2 linked regions of the Elephas maximus indicus genome follow. The protein of the gene in region 1 binds, or shares a complex with, the protein of each later gene. Links are inferred from orthologs where the notes say so. Each region holds a gene or a part of one and is shown in the gene's direction. Other genes may lie near its edges. The genes, in order: WWC1 and DDN.

What was found.
Region 2: the proteins of WWC1 (region 1) and DDN are in contact, whole or in part, in a crystal structure (PDB 6J69), measured with the Mus musculus proteins. The link is inferred for Elephas maximus indicus from reciprocal best matches to the Homo sapiens genes WWC1 and DDN. Residues at the interface, in NP_740749.1 of Mus musculus: Glu13, Glu14, Ala15, Arg16, Asp17, Tyr23, Ile25, Asp26, His27, Arg30, Thr31, Thr32, Ser33, Trp34; in NP_001013763.1 of Mus musculus: Tyr227, Val228, Ala229, Pro230, Pro231, Ser232, Tyr233, His237, Arg238, Thr239.

What each region holds. Positions count from the first base shown.
Region 1 is NC_064820.1:186,548,375-186,559,550, forward strand, and holds the start of WWC1 (protein KIBRA), read left to right. Parts: upstream 1-6,364; 5' UTR 6,365-6,880; coding exon 6,881-6,999; intron 7,000-11,176. UniProt on the Homo sapiens protein: Regulator of the Hippo signaling pathway, also known as the Salvador-Warts-Hippo (SWH) pathway.
Region 2 is NC_064822.1:104,418,801-104,430,586, reverse strand, and holds DDN (dendrin), read left to right. Parts: upstream 1-6,951; coding exon 6,952-7,160; intron 7,161-7,583; coding exon 7,584-9,522; 3' UTR 9,523-10,655; downstream 10,656-11,786. Other genes in the region: PRKAG1 (5'-AMP-activated protein kinase subunit gamma-1), read left to right, coding at 867-976, 1,174-1,255, 1,351-1,409, 1,550-1,595, 1,749-1,803, 2,147-2,273, 2,379-2,544, 2,701-2,738 and 2 more. UniProt on the Homo sapiens protein: Promotes apoptosis of kidney glomerular podocytes. Podocytes are highly specialized cells essential to the ultrafiltration of blood, resulting in the extraction of urine and the retention of protein.

The sequences.
Region 1 (11,176 bases):
AATGTTATGTGCTCAGCTGATAACCGAAAGGTTGGAGGTTTGGGTCCACCCAGAGGTACACTGGAAGAAAAACCTGATGATCAACTTCTGAAAAACCAGCCATTGAGAACTCCACAGAGCACAGTTCTACTCATACACGTGGGCTCAGAGCCGACTGAATGGCAACCTTTTTCCCCCTATTAAACCACAAGCTTCAGAAACCACCTTTGTATCCCAAGCACTCAACACATTGTCCAGCACACAGTAGGCAGACAAGACAGTCTTGTTGAATCAATGAATAACCAGTTGAGAAGGGAAGCAAAAGAACTATAAAGGGTGCCTCCTATGTTTCAGTAACTGAGCTAAGTACTTTATTTATATGATCTCATTCAGTTGTCACAGGTTGACAGCGAAGTGGGTATTGTTGCTCTCATTTTACACAGAAACTGAGGGTCAGAGAGATGCAATCTCATACTCAAAGTCACACATCAACCAAGATGCAGAGCCAAGTTTTAGATACAGATTTTTTTTTTCTGCACATGTTTCCTCCACTCCATACAGCACCCTGCTGAGGCAGGTTCTTTGGGCCTAAGCCCCAACTCTACACCCTTCTTGCTGCGTAGCCTGTAGCGTTCACTTAGATTGCTCATCTAGAAGGGGGTGAAATTCTGAAGGGGGGAGGTCAAAGAGTGCACAGTGGGCAGGTAAGGTGCATTTCCTCCAATGCATTTCTAAGCATTTGTGCTGGAGTTTAATTTAAGCGCCTCGGTACCATGGCGATGCAAGCTCTATAAATACCCCAGAGAGGTTTCAATTCAGCCAGCCTGCAGGTTACCGCACTTGCACCCCCACCCCTGTTTCCCACCAGGCCTCAGCTTCTGCTGGTGGGGTAGGAGGGTAGAAAAGCACGGCTTTGCAGGAACTACCTCCTCCCACTCCCACTTTCTTTCTCCTCTCCGTACCCGCACCCTTGGAACTGAGATCTCATCTCCACCTCCTCCTTCAGTGCATAATTCATTTCCTAGTTGGTGAAACTTCAAAGACAAAACAGCTCCCAGCCCCCAGTACCCAGAGGACTCTGATGTGAGAGTCAGAAAGAAAGTGGCCGCTCAACCTCTCCTGCCAGCCCCAGGGTGACCTCTTGTCCAGGAGAAATCCAGCTTAGTTGATGAATGTGCCAGAAGGAAAAAAGGTGGAGAAGGAGGAGTCAGGCAACAGAGGGAGAAAAGTGCCCCTCCTTGCATGGACATAGCTCAGCTCCTTGGATCTAAACCCCAGCAGGTCTTATTGACAGCACCAGGAGAGCTGCCGAGGGACAGGTTGGTCCACTGGATTCTTCAGCTCAGAATTCAAATCCCCATCCCAGTGCTGCTCTCTCACTGAAGCTTGGCTATCGCAGGCTTTAGACTGGCTCCCCAACCTCCATGAGCCTTCTCCAACCATTCCAAATAGAAATGTAACCCAAACAAAAGCAAGAGTTCAAGACTAGTCTCCTACCTACTCCTCCACCCCCTTCCAACCAGACTGTTGCCCTGAAGTTCCTCCTTCCTAGGCATTCAGCAATTCTGGCTGTTCACTAGAAAATTAAAAACCCAATGGAAGGAGCTGAGGCTGAACCTTGGCTCTATTTTTTACTGTGTGACTATGGAAAAGTCATTTTGCCTCTCTGGGTCTTCCTTTCCTCGTCTGTAAAATGGGACCGGGAAGAACTGGGGCAGTGAGTCATTGTTTATATAAACTCCAGCTCCCTGTTTGTAAAATGACTAGTCTATGCTTGATTAAAGGGGGCAGTGGTGGTTCAGTGTTAGAATTCTCACCTTCCATGTGGGAGGCCTGGTTCTATTCCTAGCCTATGCGCTTGATCCACAGTCACCACCTGTCTGTCAGTGGACGCTTGCGTGTTACAATGATGCTGAACAGGTTTCTGCAGAGCTTCCAGACTAAGACTAGGAAGAAAGGCCTGGAGACCTACTTCCAAAACTCAGCCAATGAAAACTCTGTGGATCACAATGGTCTGATCCCATTTGTGCATAAAGTCGCCCACCATGAGTTGGAGGCCAACTCAACAGCAGCTAACAACAACATGCTAGATTTACTTTATTTGCCAGCACTGTGTTAAGCCTTGAGGACCCAGAGATGAATAAGAAATGATCTCTACTGCCTGGGTTCTCATATTGCCAAGGTTTCTTCCACCTTAACATCCTCTGGCTTAGGACATTTTCCCATCATTGAAGAAAAACAATTAATGGTGCAGTTATGATCCTCAAATAATGCAGGACTAAAGCGAGGGTACATTGTTGCTCAATCGCTCCCCAAGCTATGTGGGAGAGCCAGCATGAGGTAGGGAGGCACAGGCATGGAGTAGGAAGAAAAATCTCAGCAGAGGTGTCCTGAGCCTCCATTTCCTTGAAGAATGCACATGCTAACAGGAGTGAGCTGCTGCTGACATCTCTGTTCCTTTTTTTAAGCTTAATTTCTCCTCCTTACCACCTCTCTCCATGAAACATACTCGCCTGTTTCCCTGAATTCTCTGAAATGTGTGTGGAAAACAGCCTTTCTTCTTTCCCGTCACCATGGGGAAAGGATTTAAGTGGGACTCTTTCTTAAAAACAAGACAACCTGTCTCAGACGCAGGTGTCTCCCATGGGTCACCTAGATGTGAAAGCAAATGAAGAAAGGGTTAGGCCTGCGGTCACTCCTTCTGCTTGGCTCTAACACTGGCCATGCCCATCTTGTCCAACAGGTGGCCAGCTACAGCCCCAGGAGGAAGGCCCAGAGAGACCTCGGTTTCTTGTCTTCAGATTCCTGAAGTTCAGTCACCTGTGGAATAACGTCCACTCAGCCTATCACATGGCTGAGCTGGCTTTACCCTTTAATCCCTTTCACGTTTGCCCGCAGCCTCCTTGCAGAATGCCTGGGGATGATTCATCCGCCATCACATGGGCAGGCAGTCATCTGTTTTATTACCTCACCCAGCTTGCAGCTTCTGGGAGATAACCTAGGATTCTTTTGTTGTGGGGTGGGGGTGGGAGGTGAGAAGGGTGAACAGATCAAGGCCTTAAGGAGTCAGTATCTACTCCGGTCTCTTCGCAGCCCAGGTCTAAAGGTCTAAAAGAACAAGCCATTTTGAAACGCTAGTGGCTTGCATACCTGGACTAAAAAGAAAGTTGGATTTGGCAGCCTACGAGGTGTTTTCCCTTCTTAGCCAATGCCAACCACTGAGAAAGCTTGGTTGGAAAACAAGATGAAAGCAGCAATGGGGAGGGCTATCACAAGGAGCCATGCACAATTTTCAGGAGGGGAAAGGACATGGCATTGTGTTTTGAACAGGAAACACTTCACTGATCAACATTTAATAGAGGCGTGCGTGCTACCAGGCATGGTAATCCAAACGTACCATAACGGGGCCCTGGAGATGGTAGCTCAAAGTACCAAGCCCTTTACAGCTATCATCTCACTTAGCCATTATAGCAAGCCCTAAGGAGTGGATAGGAGCCCTGGTGGCACAATGGTTAAACACTTAGCTGCTAACCAAAATGTTGGCAGTTTGAACCCACCAGTCATTGAGAGAGAAATGTGACAGTCAGCTTCTATAAAGATTACAGTCTTGGAAGTCCTATGGGGAAGTTCTACTCTGTCCTATAGGGTCATTATGAGTCAGAATATACTTGATGGCAGTGGGCTCAGGGGTGGATATTATCATGTGATTTTTTTTTTTCTCCTCAGACCTAAGACTGAGACTCACCAGCTAGAAAATAGGGCAGGTTTGGGACCTGAACAGTCTGATTTCAGAGCTCTTGCTCTTAGTCAAAGATGTTGAAGCAAATGTCAACAGAGGCATATCTTCTACATCCCAGTTTGGTGAGTAGTGTCTGGGGTCTTAAAAGCTTGCGAGCAGCCATCTAAAGATACAACCATTGGTCTCTACGTGTCTGGAACAAAAGAGAAAGAAGGAAACCTAAGCCTCAAAGAAGAAACTAGTCTACAAGACAAATAGTCTACATGAACTATGGCCTTAGCTAACCTGAGACTAGAAGAACTAGATGGCGCCCGGCTACCACTACCGACCCTTCAAATCAGGGCCGCAATAGATGGATCCTGATGGAATGGGAAAAAAATGTGGAAGAGAACCTCAAATTCCTAAAACAAGGTACAACAAAAACAGATCTCCTGCACTGGTTGAGACTGGAGGGCTCCCTGTTGCCCTGAGATACTCTTCAAAATCTTGAACTGGAATTAACCCCTGAGGTCAGCTTGTGGCTAAATAACAAATTGGCTAAAAAAATAATGAATATCACCCAAAAGCACTGTGCTCCTTTAAAAAAAAAAAAATCACCTATATAACACCAAGCAGTCAGCAATTACTTTAAAACAAAGATGAGAAGGTAAGAGGCAGGGAAGTTCGATTAATGAAAACGGAACCAAAATGGAAATAATGAGAATGCTCACATGTTGTGAAGAATATAACCAATATCACTGAACAACTTGTGTAGAAATTGTTGAAGGGGAACCTAAATTGCTGTGTAAACCTTCACCAAAAATACTATCTAAAAACACACACACACACGTAATTTACAAAAATAATAAAAGGAGTATAGCTTCGTGGTTGAGAGCATGGGCACTGGAGTCAGACACACCTGGCTCAGCACTGCCACTCATTAGTTCTGTATCCCTGGGCAACAACCCAGCCTCTTAGAGCCTCAGTTTTCTCATGGGTATAATAGTATCCCCCACTCTAGAGGGTTGTTATGAGGATTAAATGACATCATGTATGTGAGACACTAAGTATCATGTTGGCTTTACTTTTGGGCTATTACCCAAAACAATAATTGAAAGTTTTTATATACTGAAAACTTATCCCAGGCAGAGAAAATAGACAGCTGTGGGAACCTCTCCTAAAGGAACAGGGAAATCCTAATTTGGGGTGGTTAGGGGCCAGCCTCAGGCCCATGTTCCTGGACTCGTGTGCCTGACACTTAAGGAGGGAAGGAGGGAGGGAAGGAAGGAGGAAGGAAGGGAGAAAGGGAGGAGGGAAAGAAGGAAGGGAGGAAAGGAGGCAAGGTGGCCATAGGCCTGGCTCCAGGGAAATAGCTAACTTAGCAGAAAGGCATTTGGCGGTAAGGAGCTCACCGTAGGGGGGTCTTCCCTATCTAGAGGGGATGAGATCAAAAACATGGGACTCCCTCCTTTGCTCAGCACACCTGGCCCAGGTGGCACAGGCTGCCTGCTCCTCTGGAAGACGTGGGATAAGAGAATCCACCACACCAGGCTTCATTCTTCCAGTCCAGTTTTCCATGATTCCATCGTATGCTCTGGGCCAAAAAAATAAAAAGGTTAAACACATACTTGGAAAACATAGCCATCAAGGGGATGTCCAAGTGCAAAGCTGATCGATCCTAATTCAATCATGCTACTTCTTTTTTACTTTTGTTAATCTCTCAAAAAACATTCTGTCTCTAATTTTCTTTTAGTTCTTTAATTTTCAAAAAAAAAAAAAATTGGACTTTGCTTTCTTTTTTCTTTTGCAAATCCATAACATAATAACTACCTCAAAGGATGACAGGCGACAACAGCATGTGAAGCTGCTAGCCCACAGGCTGGCACAAGGAGGCACTCAATTTAGCTAACAACAATATCATTATTATTACTTTTACAAAGTGTTTCCCTGACACCCTCTGGAACCCTTCCCAGGGGAGGAGATCCAAAGCACTTCTAATTTTAAGGAGACAGAGGAAACCCTGGCGGTGTAGTGGTCAAGAGCTAGGGCTGCTAACCAAAAGATCAGCAGTTAGAATCCACCAGGCCGACTGGAAACCCTATGGGACAGTTCTACTCTGTCCTGTGGGGTCGCTGTGAGTCAGAATTGACTCCACAGCAACGGGTTTGGTTTTCTGGTTAAGGAGACAGAGCTACATTTGCAATACGGGAGTGGGGTGGGGTAGGGACTGAAACTGAGTGGGGAGAAGGACTGAATATGAGGGTGACAGATGGCCATGTTGGGGGAAGGGACCCGAGATCCTGGAAAACTTATGTTCGCTGATTTGCAAGAATGTTTCCGTTTAACCACTTCTTGCCTGACTCCTGAGTCCACAAAGCAAAGAAAGGAGGGAGCTGTGAGATTTGGGGCCACCTGTGCCAAGAGCCTGGACACTCGGGGTGGTGAAAGCCAGGGGCCTTGGGAAGCAGAGGTAAGGCAAGTCTTGCTCTAGCCTCCGGGGGCTCCAGAGTCAGAGTAAGGGGCGTCCTCCCTTTCCCCTGTCAAGAGCAGCGAAGGAGTAGCCGGTGGTTCGGTCTGTCCCACGAGGGGGCGCGTCCCTAGCCCTAGGACCCGCCCTCAAGGCGCTGGGCGCGGGGAGGGGACCCGGGAACCCAGGAGCTCCGCGCTCCGCCTCCCGTTTCCGGGGCAGCGCGGCTACCTGCACCGCCCGGGCCGCACCTGGCGGAGGCAGAAGTCGCAAACCCAGAGAGAGCAGAGCGGCGGAGCCCGGAGGAGGGGACAGTGCCCGGCTCGGGGGAAGAAGCTGCGGCGGCGGGAGGCGGCGGCGGGGAGGGCGCAGCGCGCCGCGCTGCGGAGGAGGGCAGGCAGCTCCGCTAGGCTCGCTCTGCCCTGCCGGCTGGGCGCGCACCCGGGCCCGCACCGAGCTGCTGCCGGCGCACATGGCAGCGTGAGAGGCCGGCAGCGGGAGAAGCGGGTGGCGCCGGGCCGGGGCCGCAGGGACGCATGGACAGCGGCGCCACCCCGGCCGGTCCCCACTAGGGCCCCCCATCTGCGGCCACCCTCCCTCCGATCATGGTGCCTCGGCGGCCGGCCGAGCCAGAGATGGCCGGCCGGAGCCGCTGAGCCGGTGGTCTCCAAGGCGGCCAGGAGTTGCATGGGGGAGCGCGGGTCGCGCTCGGGAAGATGCCCCGGCCGGAGCTGCCCCTGCCGGAGGGCTGGGAGGAGGCGCGCGACTTCGACGGCAAGGTCTACTACATAGACCACACGAGCCGCACCACCAGCTGGATCGACCCGCGGGACAGGTAGGACTCCGGGATGTCCCTCCCTACACCCCGGCACACGCCCCCACCTGCCCCAGGGGCCACCGGCCGGGACTGGGTAGAGGGACACGCTTCTTAGAGTCTGCCCTGGAGCCGGGGGGGCAGCGGAGTTCTGCAAGCCTAAACCCCTTTCTTCAGATTGCCCCTGAGCCCGTTCTGGAGCGCCGCTCCTGCCCTGGTGGGCTGCTGGGAGGAGGGGACGGCCAGTGAGCTGGCCCAGGCTGCCCCCACCGCCACCACCAGATGGAAGTCTTAGGCCCCAACCGGCACCTGCTCGGAGTTTTGACCTTAAACTGTAGCCCCGCCCCGTGCCCCCTTTAGTAGAAGAGGTTGGGCGGGGGCGGGAGAGCTACTTAGCAGATTGAGGCTGGGGCTTCCCGGGGAGGCTTTCCCCAGCATCTGGGGGGATGGGAAGCATCTGGTTTAGAGGGGGTGGTAGTGACCCAGGATTCAGTGGGAGACTGCTGGAGGAGGGGAAGGCTGCTTGGAGTGTGCATTTTGGCAGGTGCTCCTGAGAAGAGTAGGGAGCAGCCAGGGGGCCTGGAGGCCGAGGATGGAAAGGGAAGGAAGGAGCTAGGGAGGGCAGATCAGGGAGACTAGTTCTCCCTCACTGCAACTTGGAAGCTGTTAGGACGTTGATGGAGGTGAGAGGCTTCCGGGAAAGGCCAGCCCATCACCTCTTTCTCCTCCGTTTCTTCCCTCTGGGAACCTTGGCTCCTCAGCCCTGCACCAGCTCGTCCTGACCTTGGTGGGCACCAGGCTGGCTGTAGCACAGCTTTTTTTTTTTTTTGCTGAGGCAGATGGAGTCTGGATGGCTCTGTCGCTTAGCTCTCCAGACTTTCTTCTGGTTTTGACTGCTGGGCATTTTATTGCATACTCTTTCCCCCTTCCCATGTATGTCCTAGAGGACACCCACAGAGTCCACTTTGTTGTCCTTTGCTGATATGGTCTGTAGAGAGTTCAGAGTGTCTCAGGAATGTATAACTTTTACCTGGTCAGTGTGACCTTGGGGGTCAGGTGCCTGTAAAGCAGCCAGTGTTAGTTATTTGGATTCTTCTTGTGGACCCCAGAGGTCCAGGGTGGAGTGTGTAGAAAGTAGTGAGTTAAAAAGAGGAAAATGTGGATTGAGATTCCCAGTAGTTTCTGCAAGCACTTCCATTCGTTCATTCATTCATTCATTCATTCATTCATTCATTCATCGGATGCCTTCTCTTTGCTCCACAGCTTGCTGCATGTCTCATTACTGTATAACCTGGAAGAAAATGTTTAATGCTGGGAAGAGTTGCTTTAGCCTCTGATTCTCAATTTCCCTATTTGTCAGATTAATAGTTTGCTTAGAAGGGAAGGAGCAATAGTGGGAATCTTAAGAGCTGGAAGGGATGGGACAATTTGAAGGCCCAGTGGTGTGATTTGCTCAAATATTTTGATCTTTCCACCACTCTGCAAACACCAAGTTCTTTACCAGCTCAAAAGTTCCTCCAAGTATGCGGTCCTCACACACTTCTCTTCCCTGAGCCCCTCAGGATCAGTTGCCACCAGGGGCTCTGTTACCGCTTTGGTGAGCTGAGCAGTCTTTCCTTGGCCCCATTTTCCTTGTCCTCTCATAGGAAACCCTGGTGGTGGAGTGGTTAAGAGCTGTGGCTGCTAACCAAAAGGTTAGCAGTTCAAATCCACCAGGAGCTACTTGGAAACCCTGTAGGGCAGTTCTGCTCTGTCCTTCAGGGCCTAGGAGTTGAAATCAACTCTATGGCAATGGGTTTGCTTCCCCCCCTACCCCCCGCCCTAGGATAGAGACAAGTTCAAGTTTACATATCCTCCTCAGAACTTGGGCCACTGAGTTAGAAGTTGGAGGTCTGAGGACCACACCCAGCACTGCTAACTTGCCCCAAGTCATGCGACTCTGAGAGGATAGCAGAAGGTCTGGAAGCTTCCCAAACAACAATAGTTCTTGTCCCTCGGAAGAGGGCAGGTGTGTAGCTTCTGTGGAAAACTGACTTGGCTAGAGCAGTTGGGACTACCTTCATGGTTTTTTGCTGTGTTCACATGCCACTTCTGCTATTGTTTACTTAATATCTGGCATTAAATCAACTCATAAAATTTTTGTACCACTTTCACAAATGAGAAACATAGTGTCTATTGCCATAATAGAAGGTCACCTTAAAAAGTACAGTGAAGATAAAACAAACTAGTGCCATTATATTTTATCTAGATACTGTTGCCTGCTCAGCCTTTTTTTTTTTTTCTCCCAGCAGATTGGCAAGCATTGGAGAGGAGTTAAAGATACATTGGCACCTAAGTGGCACCTTCCTCATTTTGCAATTTAGTGTCTGTGTTTTTTTGTTGCTGTTGTTTGTTTCTTTTTTTTTTTTTTTATTTCTGCATCTTCGCACATCCTAGTCATCCCAACCACACAGGGCTCGTGGGAGGGCCCTGAGTTTGGGGTGCTGGGGAGTTTTGAAATCAACCCTGGGGATCACTGTCGTGGTAGACCAACTTTGAAAGTTTGGGGAAAGAGCTGATCAGAGGGCATCCACTGTGGGTCTTTGGAATTTCCATCTTGCCCAGTGTGTTAGGCAGTGTGGACAGCTGGCTGCGTGGCCTCGGGCAAATTGCTTGACCTCTCTGAGGCACAGGTTCTCCACTGAGGAGATAATTGATTAGATGCTCTCCAAGGACCCTGCCAGTTCTCGGATATAAGACCCCTCTGCCTCTCCTTAACCCTCCTGCCTCCATAGCAAGATGGGGGGTTGGAGTGGGTAGGATGGGGATGGGGCCATGAGAAGGAGAAGGGAGAGATTTAACAACAGCCAATTTAACAGCCAAATTTTTTGGGGGGGAGGGGAAACAAAACCTGTTGCCATCAAGTTGATTCAGACTCACAGTGACCCTGCAGGACAGAGTGTTAAATTTTGCCTAGATAATTACATCTCTGGGACTAGTTAATGCTAAGAAACAAAAAACTTTGAAAACATTCTGCTCATCAGCCGTGTGTGTGTGTGTGTGTGTGTGTGTTCTGCTCATCAACCGTGTGTGTGTGTGTGTGTGTGTGTCTCAGCTTTTTCCTTACCTGAATGAAGGAGATACCCACCCATTCCCCTGAATTTAAAAGAACTCAGTCAAATGGTTATTCAGTCAGGAAAGTGATTTCTTAGCCACTGAAGACAAAATAGCGTCTCCGGTTACCAACCCTAAAGAATGTCTTGGCACATTCCTGCCCCTGGGGCTGAGCTGTTCTGTGTGCTGTCCGGAGTGGAGGCTGCTGGGGGTAGGGAATCCAGTTTTCAGCTTCCTTTTCACCAGGGGGTTCGAAGAGCTGCCAGGCAGCCTGCCTTGCCAACTCTCTCCCCTTCTCACCAAGGGGACGACTGGGAGGCCAAAATTCCAGAGGACGGTCGTCCCAACAACCAGAGAGAGTCCAGTGGGCAGCTTGGGGCATGCCCACTGGGCCAAAGGCTCCGGCAGCACCTCAGGCTCTTACCGAGGCGTGGCCAGTCTGGGAAGGTGACAAGTCCTTTGGGAACCAGGGGCACAGCCCCTCAGAGTAGTGCTCTTTTTCAGAATAACTCCAGGTGCTGCTGGGAGCACCCAGCAAAGGGCCAGCGTTCCGTGTGTGTTTAGCCTAGTGGTGTGCAAAAACAAATAGGCTGATTGTTCTCTGAGGAAGAATGGATCACTGGAACTGGCTCTGCCAGAGAAGGTTCTTGAAGCCTGATTCCTGCTCATTCGGCGGTTTGTGTTCAGACCTTCCAAGAACCACCTGGGAACTCTGGGCTCAGTTTCTGGGTCCTTGAGCCAAGCACTGGGGCTTAGAGGACTCAGCAACTTCTCTCATGGCTTGAGGAGGAGCTTTTGCTCATCTTATTTCAGAAACAATTTTTATTGTATGAAGTTGAGTCAGGAACCTCATGTTGGTCACAGACCTTTATGAGAACCTGACAAAAGTCAGGACTCTTACAAGAGCAAAATGCAAACACAGTTTTTGTCACTAATTTCAGGAGGTTTAAGGATCCCAGGTTCATAACTCCTGCTGTGGTGTAACTTGGAAACTGCTCATCACCGCCTATATACCCTCCTATTTAGCTAGGTAAGACCCTGGGGGGCACAAACAGTTAAGCACTTGACTACTAACAGAAAGGTCAGAGATTCAAATCTACCCAGA
Region 2 (11,786 bases), on another chromosome or scaffold:
GTGTTACAGCTCCTCCTTCTCTCTCTCCATGTCTCCCTTTAAGCCTAGTGGGATGGCAAAACTGACCAATCCCCTTGTTAGGGTTCCATATATCTTATTTGCATGGTCCTAAACCCACAAGGATGTCATACATCTTATTTGCATTATTAGCAAGCTGTCCAATCCTTGGTGGGCCACAAGCACCTCATTTGCATAGTCCCACCCAATCATTTGGTGAGAGTTATAAGACCATGGCAAAAAAGGCCACATAAATGTGATCCATCACACCGCAAAAGATAAATATCACCCAGGACCTCTAATTTGTCTAGAGTAGGCAGAATGAATTCTGATCCACAGGGTGATCCCAGCATGGACTTTCAGGGTGTTTGGGGCCAGGCTGATTGAGCACTGGGCTCAAACTTAGCGTTGATCAGAAACAGCCCAGCTTGGACCATGACTTTAACAGCTGCAGATCTTGGAAGAATTTTAAGAAGCTTACTTAGTTTTTCATCTTTATTAAGAATAGAGAACAAGTGAAAATGTGCTAAATGTATGAAATACACATCATGGTTTAAGACGAGAAAAAGCTTTTAGATAGGACAGGCTAAGGAGAAATATTATAGACTTTGTTTTAGTCAGCCATCGTTTGCCTAAGAAATCAATAGATACCATCCTACTTGGAGGCAGAAGTTGGATGAAATGGCTTCTAAGGGATTTATCCTGATTTTGTGAGAACAAGAAGAACAAAACAGATACAATAACCCAGCTAAACAAAAGGAGACCTTAGTAAAAAACCATAGTCTATTACAACACTGTTTTGTTTTCTGCCTCTTTTGATTGGGAGTTGTTTCATGGAAGGAAGCTACTAACTATCCCACCCTATGCAGAAACCCCAGAATCCAACAATAGCGTGTATACTTCCTTCATGAAGTCTCATCGCTGCTATGACCTGATTCCCACAAGCTCCAAATTGGTTGTATTTGATACTTCCCTGCAGGTGGGTGAACTGTTTTCCCTTACCCCTTCTTTGGAGCCTCTGGTACAATACCTCTCATCCTATCTCATCCCGTGGGTAATAGTCTTTTCCGTCTATGGGGTTAGTCTCCTATCTTCCCCAACATACCCAACCCCTATTCTTTTAAAGTCCTGCCTCCTGTGAATTTCCCTTTGTGATTATTATGCTTTTGGCTACAGGTGAAGAAAGCTTTCTTTGCCTTGGTGACTAATGGTGTACGAGCTGCCCCTTTGTGGGACAGTAAGAAGCAAAGTTTTGTGGGTAAGAAAAAGTTTCTGGAATACAATATTGGCATCTTGTGCTGGGCAGGGAGAGAAGCTTTGGGCAGTGCTGAGGGCTCTTATTTTGGCCTCTAGGCATGCTGACCATCACTGATTTCATCAATATCCTGCACCGATACTATAAATCAGCCTTGGTAAGGAATCCTAACCCAGTGGCCAAAACCACTTTCCCTGCCAAAAGCCCCTCATTCTCATTTCCTTTCCTCCAAGCAAGCCACAAGAAGTTAATGAAGCAGGGAGATCAGGCCTCAAATTCTGCTGCATCTGCTTCTAGGTGCAGATCTATGAGCTAGAAGAGCACAAGATAGAAACTTGGAGAGGTATGTAGAGGAGTGGGGGTTGTGGAAGGATGACGGGTTTGTGGAAGGATGATGGGCTGGAGAGTTCCTGGGACATGGTTTACCATGGTGGTGCGCGCGCGCGCGCGCGCACGCGCGCGTGTGTGTGTGTGAAAATTGTATTTTTCCCCTCAGAGGTATACCTACAGGACTCCTTTAAACCACTTGTCTGCATTTCTCCTAATGCCAGGTGAGTTCCAGCTACCCATCTGTCCAGAAGGGGAAGAGCCATGCCATCAGCATACCTAAAGCCCTAAAACAAAAAAACAAAAAAAAAACACTGCCGTCCTAAAAAAAAAAAAAACTTTTAGACAGCCAAAAATCCAGGGAAAGGGGCTAAAGAGAGAAAAGGCACTCCTCCCAAATATATATACACACACACACACACTCACAATCTTTAGGTCTGGTCTAAACACTGTCTCTCCAAACCCCAAACACCAGTTTTCCCTGTTTATCAACGTACGCTAAGGAGACAGTTAACCACCCTCGCCCCAGTACTGTGGAACTGATCATCATCTCCCACCTTCGCACAGCTTGTTTGATGCTGTCTCTTCATTAATTCGAAACAAGATCCACAGGCTGCCAGTTATTGACCCAGAATCAGGCAACACCTTGTACATCCTCACCCACAAGCGTATCCTCAAGTTCCTCAAATTGTTCGTAAGTGCTCCTCAGCCCCGTTCTTACTTCATAAATACTGGGGTGGAAAGGTGCCTGAGGGTGGTTTGGGGACCTGGAGAATCAAGCTGATGGCTCTTTCCTCAGATCGCTGAGTTTCCCAAGCCAGAGTTCATGTGTAAGTCTCTGGAAGAACTGCAGATTGGCACTTATGCCAACATTGCCATGGTCCGTACCACCACCCCCGTCTATGTGGCTCTGGGCATCTTTGTACAGCACCGAGTTTCTGCTCTGCCAGTGGTGGATGAGAAAGGTGCGAGATTGGGCAGAAGGAGGGAGGGCTCCTGGGAAGTCAGAGTGCCTCAGGGGAAATCTGCTCCCCTCTCACCTCAGCCAGGAGAGTGATTCTATGGGCAGGGGGAGCCTTAGATACCAGATCCTCCTTACTGAGCTGCCTCTGTCCCCGTAGGGCGTGTGGTGGACATCTACTCCAAGTTTGATGTTATCGTGAGTGATTATGGAGGGGCTGGGAGGTAGGGAAAAGGGGAGGGGGATGAGATGGGGTACTGAATGTACTGAGGGAGAAGGGAGAAACTTCCAAGCTTTCAAACCCCATTGGAAAAGGAATTGATAAACTGGGTGTGACTTGGGGGCATGACTGACAACTGCCCTAAGTCCCTCTGGTGAGGTTGGGTGGGCTGAGGTTTGGGGATTGGCTCCCTTCCCCATAAGCTCCTTCCTCTTTCTCCCTAGAATTTGGCTGCAGAAAAGACCTATAACAACCTAGATGTCTCTGTAACCAAAGCCTTGCAACATCGATCACACTATTTTGAGGGTGTCCTCAAGTGCTACCTACATGAGACTCTGGAGACCATCATCAATAGGCTGGTGGAAGCAGAGGTAGGGAGGGCAGAGACCCTAAAAGAGGGAGATGGGGGGGCAAATGGCAAGAGACCTGAGGCCTCAGAGTAGGGTTTGGGAAGCTGGGTAGGGTGTAAAAGGTTCACCCTAACTGAGGTTGGCACTGAACACCCCCTTCTTCCTTGTTGCTCTGTGCCAGGTTCACCGACTTGTGGTGGTGGATGAGAATGATGTGGTCAAGGGAATTGTATCTCTGTCTGACATCCTGCAGGCCCTGGTGCTCACAGGTGGAGAGAAGAAGCCCTGAGCTGGGGGAAGGTGTCAGGCAGCAGTAGGGGATATGCCCCTCTCACTGCCTGCCAGCAGCTCTGGAAATCACAGATGAAACCTTGAGAGAACTGTGACTCTGTTCCCTGCACAGGAGCCCCCTACCCTACTACCTGGGGGCCAAGGGAGTTGGAGGAGGAAGGAGAATAGATTTTTAGCTGCCCTTCCCCTCACACATGTGCGCAAGAAGATTTTAGCCCAGCCCATCTCAGCCCCTGTCCTCTTAGATGTAGCTCTCTTTGTGGGTCAGCAATGGGTTCTGTGCCCACCCTCAGGCAGATTCTGATCTCTGAGAGATCCCTAGACCTCACCCTGCCTTTGCCTCTATTCCTGCCCCTTACTTCACCCTAAGATAATAGCACAGCAACAGTCTTCATAAAGATGTTTTTATTCATCCTATTTCATGCTGTATGGGGGAGGCTGAGTCCAGTTAGTGACATTTATTCCCATAATGGAAGTGGAGAGGATCATGGGGAGGAGGGCTGTTGGGTTCCTGTGCTGTTTTTATATGAAGGCAGATGGGGGTTAAGTGGAGGATGGAGTGGTTAGCCTAAGTTATTGCTTTTCGTGGCAAACCTAATTAAAATGACAGGAACCTCTTCGTGGCATTGCGGTGTTTGATTTTTGCAGCTGATACATTCTACTGCTCCAACCCTCCTCCTTTATATGGCTTCTTCAACTCATCGTTAATAACAATAATATACATTTATGTTTATGTGTGTATGTATAACTTACTGTGTGCCGGGCACCATTGTCAGTGCTTTGCCTTACATATATTTATTTAGTCCTCAGATCAACAGTAGATACTATCGCTATTCCAGTTTTATAGATTTAAAAAAAAACTGAGGCACAGGAAAGTTAAGTAACTTGGCCAAAGTCACACAGCTAGGATTTGATCTCAAATAGTCTGGCTCCAGAGTTCATGCTCTTCACCACTACACTGGACTTTCTGCCTGTCTAATTCTCCTTTAATAGCTGTTCCTTGCTCAATTCCCTACTGCCCTCCTTATTGTCTAACTTTCCCCTTTGCCTGGACCATAGCTGGGACCCAAGGAGAAGCCCATGACAATGTTAGGTTGCCACAGAGTAGAAATGCTGATGCAGAGAGACCTGCCACTGCCATCAACTTTTCCCAGTCAGGGAAGCTAGGCTGTGTTTGGATTCTGCTGATCCGTTACTATCTTTGAAACTACAAATCCCTTGCCTGTCTTCCAAGGTGAGAATGAGCTGGAGAACGGAGGGAAGGGAGGAGCAGGACTATGGTCGGACCCATTCTCTGTGCTGAAATTGTGGACCAATACAGTAGGCAGCACTAAGCACCATAAGGAATGCTAGTTGGGTATGAGCCAAATTCTGGGTATCATTTAACCTCTGCTGTGCAGGTATGATACAATTTCCCATCCAAGAACAGAAGCAATTGCAGAGTAACTCCTTGCCCTACCTGCACTATGCCTAACTAAGCCTTCTAATGAACCCCAGCCCTACCATGCTGGTTTCCCCAAACCAGGCTTCCTGATGGGACATGGGAAAGCATCAAGGCACTTGTCAGAGCTCAGCTGTCAGTGCTGCATGGGGGGTATGGAGAAGTCCTCTGCCTCTGCGTTCACCTCTTCACACGCCTCACAGCACATTCCCAAACTTGGGGGAGGGAGGCTTTCAAGTAATTAGAATTGGGGTATGTTTATGTGTGTGTGGGTGGGTGCATGGTGGAAAGGACAGATGTCTCTATGTCACATTCCATCATGAAGGAGGGTTTGTCTAGGGAGGAGGCAAGGACTTTAAAAAGCCTTAGGACTCTTGGTGGGACCTGGGGTGGAAGGAAGCACCTTCAAAGCAAGAGTCATCTGCAGCTGGTAAGTACATGGATTCAGGGGGGATAAAGTGGATGGGACAGGGGTGTTTGGGTTCTCTCTAAAGGCCCATGTTAAGGAGCAGGAGGCCTAAGCTCCCACTAAGTCAGTCTTTGCCCCACAACAACCCTTCTGGTCCCATCCCCTTAAAAAAAGGGTCTGTATCCAAAGGACTGCAGATACTTTAGTGGAGAACAAAATGGGGTCTCTCGCTCTTCCCATTCCCCCCCAAAAACCAACCAGCCAGTCTCAGAGTCTGAGGATGGAGCAGAGGGAAAGACAATAAAATTTGGGAGCTTCATAGCCTTCTATTCTTACCTAGTCCTCTCAGGATAGAGAAATTGTCCCTTCTTCCTCAGGAGCCATTGCCATACACATTCTTCCCCCCACCTCCCTCCCGCCCCTCCACTGGAGCTGCTGCCATGGTTTCCAGGCATGGTTGCTAAGTCTCTGCATGTAAGGGTTGGCGTGGGCTGTGCTGCCACTAACATTGCCATGGTGAATCAGGGGACACCTGATATAGGCTTGGGGGGAGGGATCATGTGGATGGATGTAAGCAACAACCCCCCCAGGACAGAATGAGCCTAAGAGGTGAGCATCTTGAGTATCACTTCAGGTGGGGGCTGAGTGAGCTAGGCATTGTGGTGGTGGTGAGGGGAAGCTCTATACTGGGAAACTGGTTGCTTTTATCATTGCAGTTGCTAAGGGATTGGTTGTGCCAAGGGAGCACACCATTCCTCCTCCATCCCTTCTGAAAGGGTCCTCCATAAGGCTGGGCAGAGCTTTGTGGGCATAGAAGAGGGTGACCCCAACATTCTGGCTTCTGGGCTGGGGGAGAGAGCCTGCTGCTGGGAGAAGGCTTCACGGGTGCCCAAGGACAAATACCTAGAATGGGAGTGGTGGCGCAGTTTCAGTGGCCAAGCCAGACTCGTGTGCCCCACTGTGCCAGCAGCTCTGTGTTTCAGCACCAGGGTGAGACGTTAAGGATGTGGGGGTCGCCCTCTTTGAGCCTGGGAGAAGGATCTCCCCCCCCCCCCCAGTCATACAAAAGCTGCCTGAAAGCCACCGCCTCTTCCCTCCCTCCTGGAAGCTGGTTACTCATCTCTGCACCCGAAGGCCACTGCCGCTAAAAATAGGCCCCCAGCCGTGGGCCAGCCCCTCCTGCACCCCAACCCCATGGAAACCAGCAAAGTGGCAGGCAAAGACCTTGAGTTCCATTCCCACCACCACTCTCGGTCCGAGAAACTGATGTCCAGGCAGGAAGTAAAGGGCTGCTGAACCCTGGGGGTCAGGCAACCTGACAAGCAGGAGAATGAAGAGTTAAAACGGCGGGAAGGTTGGAGAAATGGGTGTGGGGGAGGGGGGGCAGTCAGCTTGGCAAAGAAGTCCCCCCGCACACTCGTGCGGGTCCCATCAGGCTTGGGGGACAAGAGCAGTGGGAAGGGGCGTCCAATCCCGGGCCCCAGGGGGCGGCCGTGCACATGGGGGAGGTAGCAGCGCGGAGCCGTCCGCGCCGTGTCACATGCGCGCGCACACACACAGACAGGCACACACGTGTGCCCGGGTATATATAGTCCCCAGTCCCTGGGCCCGCCGCTCTGCAGTGGGCGCCGGCTCCCTGGGCTGGGAGGGGGCTCTCGGGGCGGGTGGGAGGGTGGGGGGCCGGGGTGGGGTGGGGCAGGATGCTGGATGGCCCGTTATTCTCCGAGGGGCGGGATAGCCCCCGGGAGCTCCAGGATGAGGAGTCTGGTAGCCGTCTCTGGGTGCAGAAGTCCAAGCTGCTGGTGATTGAAGTGAAGACTATTTCTTGTCATTATAGTCGCCGCGCCCCTTCTGGACAACCCATGGATTCCCAGACCAGCCACTGGGCCCGCTGGACCCAGAGCCGCACGTGAGTGAAGGAGGGACCAGGGAAGAGAGTGGAGTGGTGGGGGAGGGGTGGGGTCTGCACCCCCCTGCCCGAAGGCACCAGCGAGCGCTGCTGGGCTCGCCTTGCCTTTCCCACGCCTCCTTCCCCCACCCCACCCCGAGGGCTGGGACCTGACTCCTTCAGTGTTGTTTTGGGGGAACAGGAGTGGGCGTGAGAAAGGGCAGGAGGTGAGATGGGGCAGAGGCTGGTAAAGAGTGCATGGAGAGATGGTGAGGAGTCCCGCTTCGACTTCAGCCCTAACATATACGCACGTGCACACGCGCACACACTCACACACACCCCTCCACACTGCGGCCCCAAGTGGCCTCCAGTGCTCCCGGTTCCCCCGACCTCGGCTCCCCTCCGCTACAAACTGCTCACCTGGGTTCCTGCTCATTGTCCCAGGTGTGGGCCGCGTCCGGGATCCCCTGAGCCGCCGCCCCGCCGGCTCTGGGCCTCCAGGGTGCTGCAGGAGGCGACCAACTGGCGGGGGGGGCACCCGGCCGAGGCCCGAGCCCGGGAGCAAGAGAAAAGGAAAGCGGCGTCGCAGGAGCGGGAGGCCAAGGAGACCGAAAGAAAAAGGCGCAAGGCTGGTGGGGCCCGAAGGAGCCCCCCGGGTAGGCCCCGCCCAGAGCCCCGGAACGCCCCTCGGGTGGCCCACCCTGCAGGGCTCCCAGCTTCCTCCCGGCCAGAGCGCTTTGTGCCGTTGGGACGGGCGCCCCGTCCATCCGCACAGCCTCAGAGCATACTAGGCGCGGCGTGGCCAGGGCCCTGGGGAGGTCGGCGGCCCGGGCCTCCCAGCTACGAGGCTCACCTGCTGCTGCGAGGCGCTGCCGGGACCGCCCCGCGACGCCGCTGGGATCGGCCGCCACCCTACGTGCCTCCACCTTCTTACGATGGCCCCCACAGGACCCTGGGGACTAAGCGAGGCCCCGAGCTCACCCAGGCGCCCGCCTCCCCAGACCCAGCTCCAACCCCGGCCAGGACCGAGACAGGGCGCGCAAAGAAGAGGCTGGATCCTCGTATTTACCGGGACGTCCTCGGGGCTTGGGGTCTCAGACAGGGGCGGGGTCTCTTGGGAGGCTCCCCAGGCTGTGGAGTGGCTAGAGCTAGATCGGAGTTCGGCAAGGGGGCCGCGGAGAGAAGCCTGGGGCTCGCTGTTGCTGGCCTGAGCAACGGTAGTGACAGCCATTCAGCAGCCAAAGCTCCAGGGAGCCCGGGCGCCAAGACAGTTCCTACAGGGCCTGCAACTGCTACTCCTAGTCCCCCGCGCCCCGCCCCCAGGTCCAGGCCCCACCTCAAGGGCTCCAGGGAAGGGAAAGAAAATGTAGAACAGAGCTGGCTCCTCAAACGCTGGATTTCCTCCCCCAAAAAGCAGCCGCCCCGACATAGCCAAACCCTCCCCAGACCCTGGGCTCCAGGAGGCACGGGATGGAAAGAGTACCTGGGTCACAGAGAGGAGGCAGAAACCGAGACCCTGAAGGGATGGAAGGTGACCCGCCGCGCCCACACCCTGCCCCGCAGTTCCCGCCGCCCCACTTGTGGAGAAGGCGTCTTTGTCATTGACGCCACTTGCGTGGTGATTCGGTCCCAGTATGTTCCGACTCCCCAAACCCAGCACATGCGGCTTTTGCCCTCCGGGGTGCCGCGCGTGGGGGGAGATGCCCCTAGTCGACTGCAGTGCGGCAAGGAGGAGGGCGAGGGTCCCGCGGCCTTTCCTTCCCCTTGCCAAAAGCTACTGTCGAGCAGCGGCCTTTCACACCAGCCCAGCGCGGGGCGCGGGAGCGAAGCTGAGGGCGGGGAGCCGGAGGATTCCTCGCTGCAGGAGCGGGCCTCCCGTATCTTGGGGCTTCCTGTCAGCGAAGTGAACCTGCGGGACGTCCCCAGGCAGCCAGGTAGCCCAGAGCACCTGGCCTTAGGCCCAGCGGCTTCGGGAAGCGTGGGCAGCGCCGAGGGCTCGAAGGAAGTGACAGCGGTCCCGCGGCGCGTGGGTCGCAGTTGGGCGCGGACCCCGGGGCCCTACGCTGGGGCCCTGCGGGAAGCCGTGTCCCGCATCCGCCGCCACACCGCCCCGGACTCGGACTCGGACGAAGCTGCGGAACTCAGCGTGCATAGCGGCTCCTCTGACGGAAGCGACACAGAAGCCTCGGGCACCTTCTGGCGAAGTGAGCAGACCCAGCCCGGGGTTGGGGGCCCCACGGCGGAGCCCCGGGAGGGCGGGAAGAGAGTAGAGCTAAACGGCAGTATCCGGGAGATTCTGGGTGTCATAAGCCGAACGGAGGAGGCCCTCTTCCGTGTGGGGGACAGTAAGAGGACCCCACAAGGAAATAGGGAGCAACAATGAGAAACCCCCATCTTGGAGTTGTGCCCCTCAACCCATCCTTGGGCCCCCCATTCTTTTCTTTCCCACACTCTTGCTTCTTTTGTCCCTGTACCCCTACCCCTTCCCATTCCCATACCTGAAGCAGAAGCTGCCCAAATGAAAAGAACAGGGGCCATCTGCACATTCATTTATTTATTTTTCAGGAGTGGTGAGGATGAGCGGTAGACTTTAATCTTGCCACATCTAGGGCACATGAGTGAGAAGGTCATGGATCTTCAGCAAGGGCTGATGCACTGTTGTGGAGCTGAGCAGAGAAGCCTAGCCAGGATCAGTTATGAGAGTGGGGATGGTGGCAGTCACAGGAAGGCAGGGCCCTGGGCAGGAGGGAGAAAGTGATGGGAAGACCTGAGAGCACTGGGTGACCCTGTGACAGAGGGGCTGTTGGTAGAAGAGGAAAGGCTCTAGAAGCAGCCAGCAAAGCAGAAAGAGTGCTCACTTTGTGTCCCGTGCCTTTGGTTTCAATCCCAACTCTGCCACTGACTTGCTAGGTGACCTTAGGCCAGTCACTCTCCCTCTCCAGGCCTCCAGACCACCTGGTATGTAAAATGAGGGAGTTTTAAGGTTCATGGTTTTATCTCTGACATTTTGGGATCTTTGGGGAGGCTTCTATCTCATATTCCCCTCCACAAACCAAGGGAGAGAGTTGAGAAGAGTCTAAGCATCCCTTGGTGGCCTCCATTTCACCTGATATCACCCTCCGTTGAGGAGACTGTCCAGTGTTTGTAAGAGAGCTGAGGAGTAGGCAAAGGGCTCCTATCCTAGTCTTCCGGCATTAGGTGAGGGCTTCCCACTCCAGTTCTGTGACTGTCCCTGGCCTGTGGTGGTCTGAACTGGGGAAGGAAGGCAGCCAGTGATAAAGCTTGGAACCTCTACTAGGCCTTCTCTTTTTCCTCCTCCCCAACGTTCCTTATTTCTGCTGTGGAACGTTGCCACGACTTCCCAGGTGGTATCGCCCACCTGAAAGAACCCTGAGAATTTCCCTAATTTCTGCCTCTGACAGAAATCCTCGAGGCAAGGAAGAGGGAGGTTGGTCCCAAGGAGCCTGAAGGTGTGGGGTGTGATACTCGCCATAGCCACTGCGGGGCGCGCGCAGGTCGCGGATTTCCCCGGTTGCTAGTTTCCGAGTCCCCCACTACCCGGCACTGCCAGTTAATCCATTGATAGCTTACCTAGTTACCGCGCGCCTGTCCCGCGCCTTGCAGCCTGCAGCCGTGCGGGGCCAGGAGCAGGCCTTTGAGAGCGCGCCGAGCCCCTCCTGTTCTCATCCACGCCAAGCGGCTTGGGACCCAGACACTGAAGTCCCTTTTCTCGCCGATCCTGGACGCCTCCTCCGTCTCAGCCATTTACTAGCCATGTGAACTTGGCCAAATCACTTCACCTCCTTGAGCCTCAGTTTCCTCATCTGTCAAATGAGGATTTATAAACACCTACCTCGCAGGGTTGTTGTGAGGATTTAATGAGATAATGTATGTAAAGCGCCTAGCACAGTGCCTGGCACACAGTAGGCGCTCAATAAATCTAAGCTTCCCTTTGCTCCAGACTTGGCACCTTCTTCCTTACACCGACCCTTTCCCTGTAGCGCCCCACCCCCAGTGCTCCTCGCTCCTTCCTGCGCCGTGGGGGAGGAAGACTCCTTTCTTTGGTGGAAACTCCCGATCCACCTCTGTCTTCCCCAGCTCGGACTCTCCCTTTCTTGCTCCCCCCACCCTCGCCGGCTCTTCCCACTGCCCTGGCGCTTTCCCCCCGCCCCCCATTCCGGGCAAGGGCTGAGTCAGCCCGGGTAAATTTAGCTGCCGGCTCGGCTGGAGCGGGGGCTTCGCCCAGACTCAGTCTCCGGGTACTGGCCGGCCCCCGGACTCGCCTCTGCCCCCACCGCCACCGGGTCCCGCCAACTCAGGCTCGGTGTTCAGGTCCCCAGCCCCGTTTCCAAACCACTTACAGTTTTAGTCTCCAATTATCTCGACGTCACTCCCCACCCGAACCGGGAGAGGTTCTGGACAGGAGGGGAAGGGGGCAGGGCCGCCTAGAAGTCCACCGGACCCGACCCAAACCTCTGGCTGGCTGGCCTTGGTTCATTTGGGGGTGGGGAGGGTAGGGGGCTGTGTTCTTCTTTTGGGTTCTGAACCAGAGGGGACAGCGTTGGTCAGAGCGAGCCACCAGGAAGGTCCATTCCAAAATCTGCCAGGAACCTAGACTGCCAGGTTTCTAGTTAGCTTTTGCTGGAG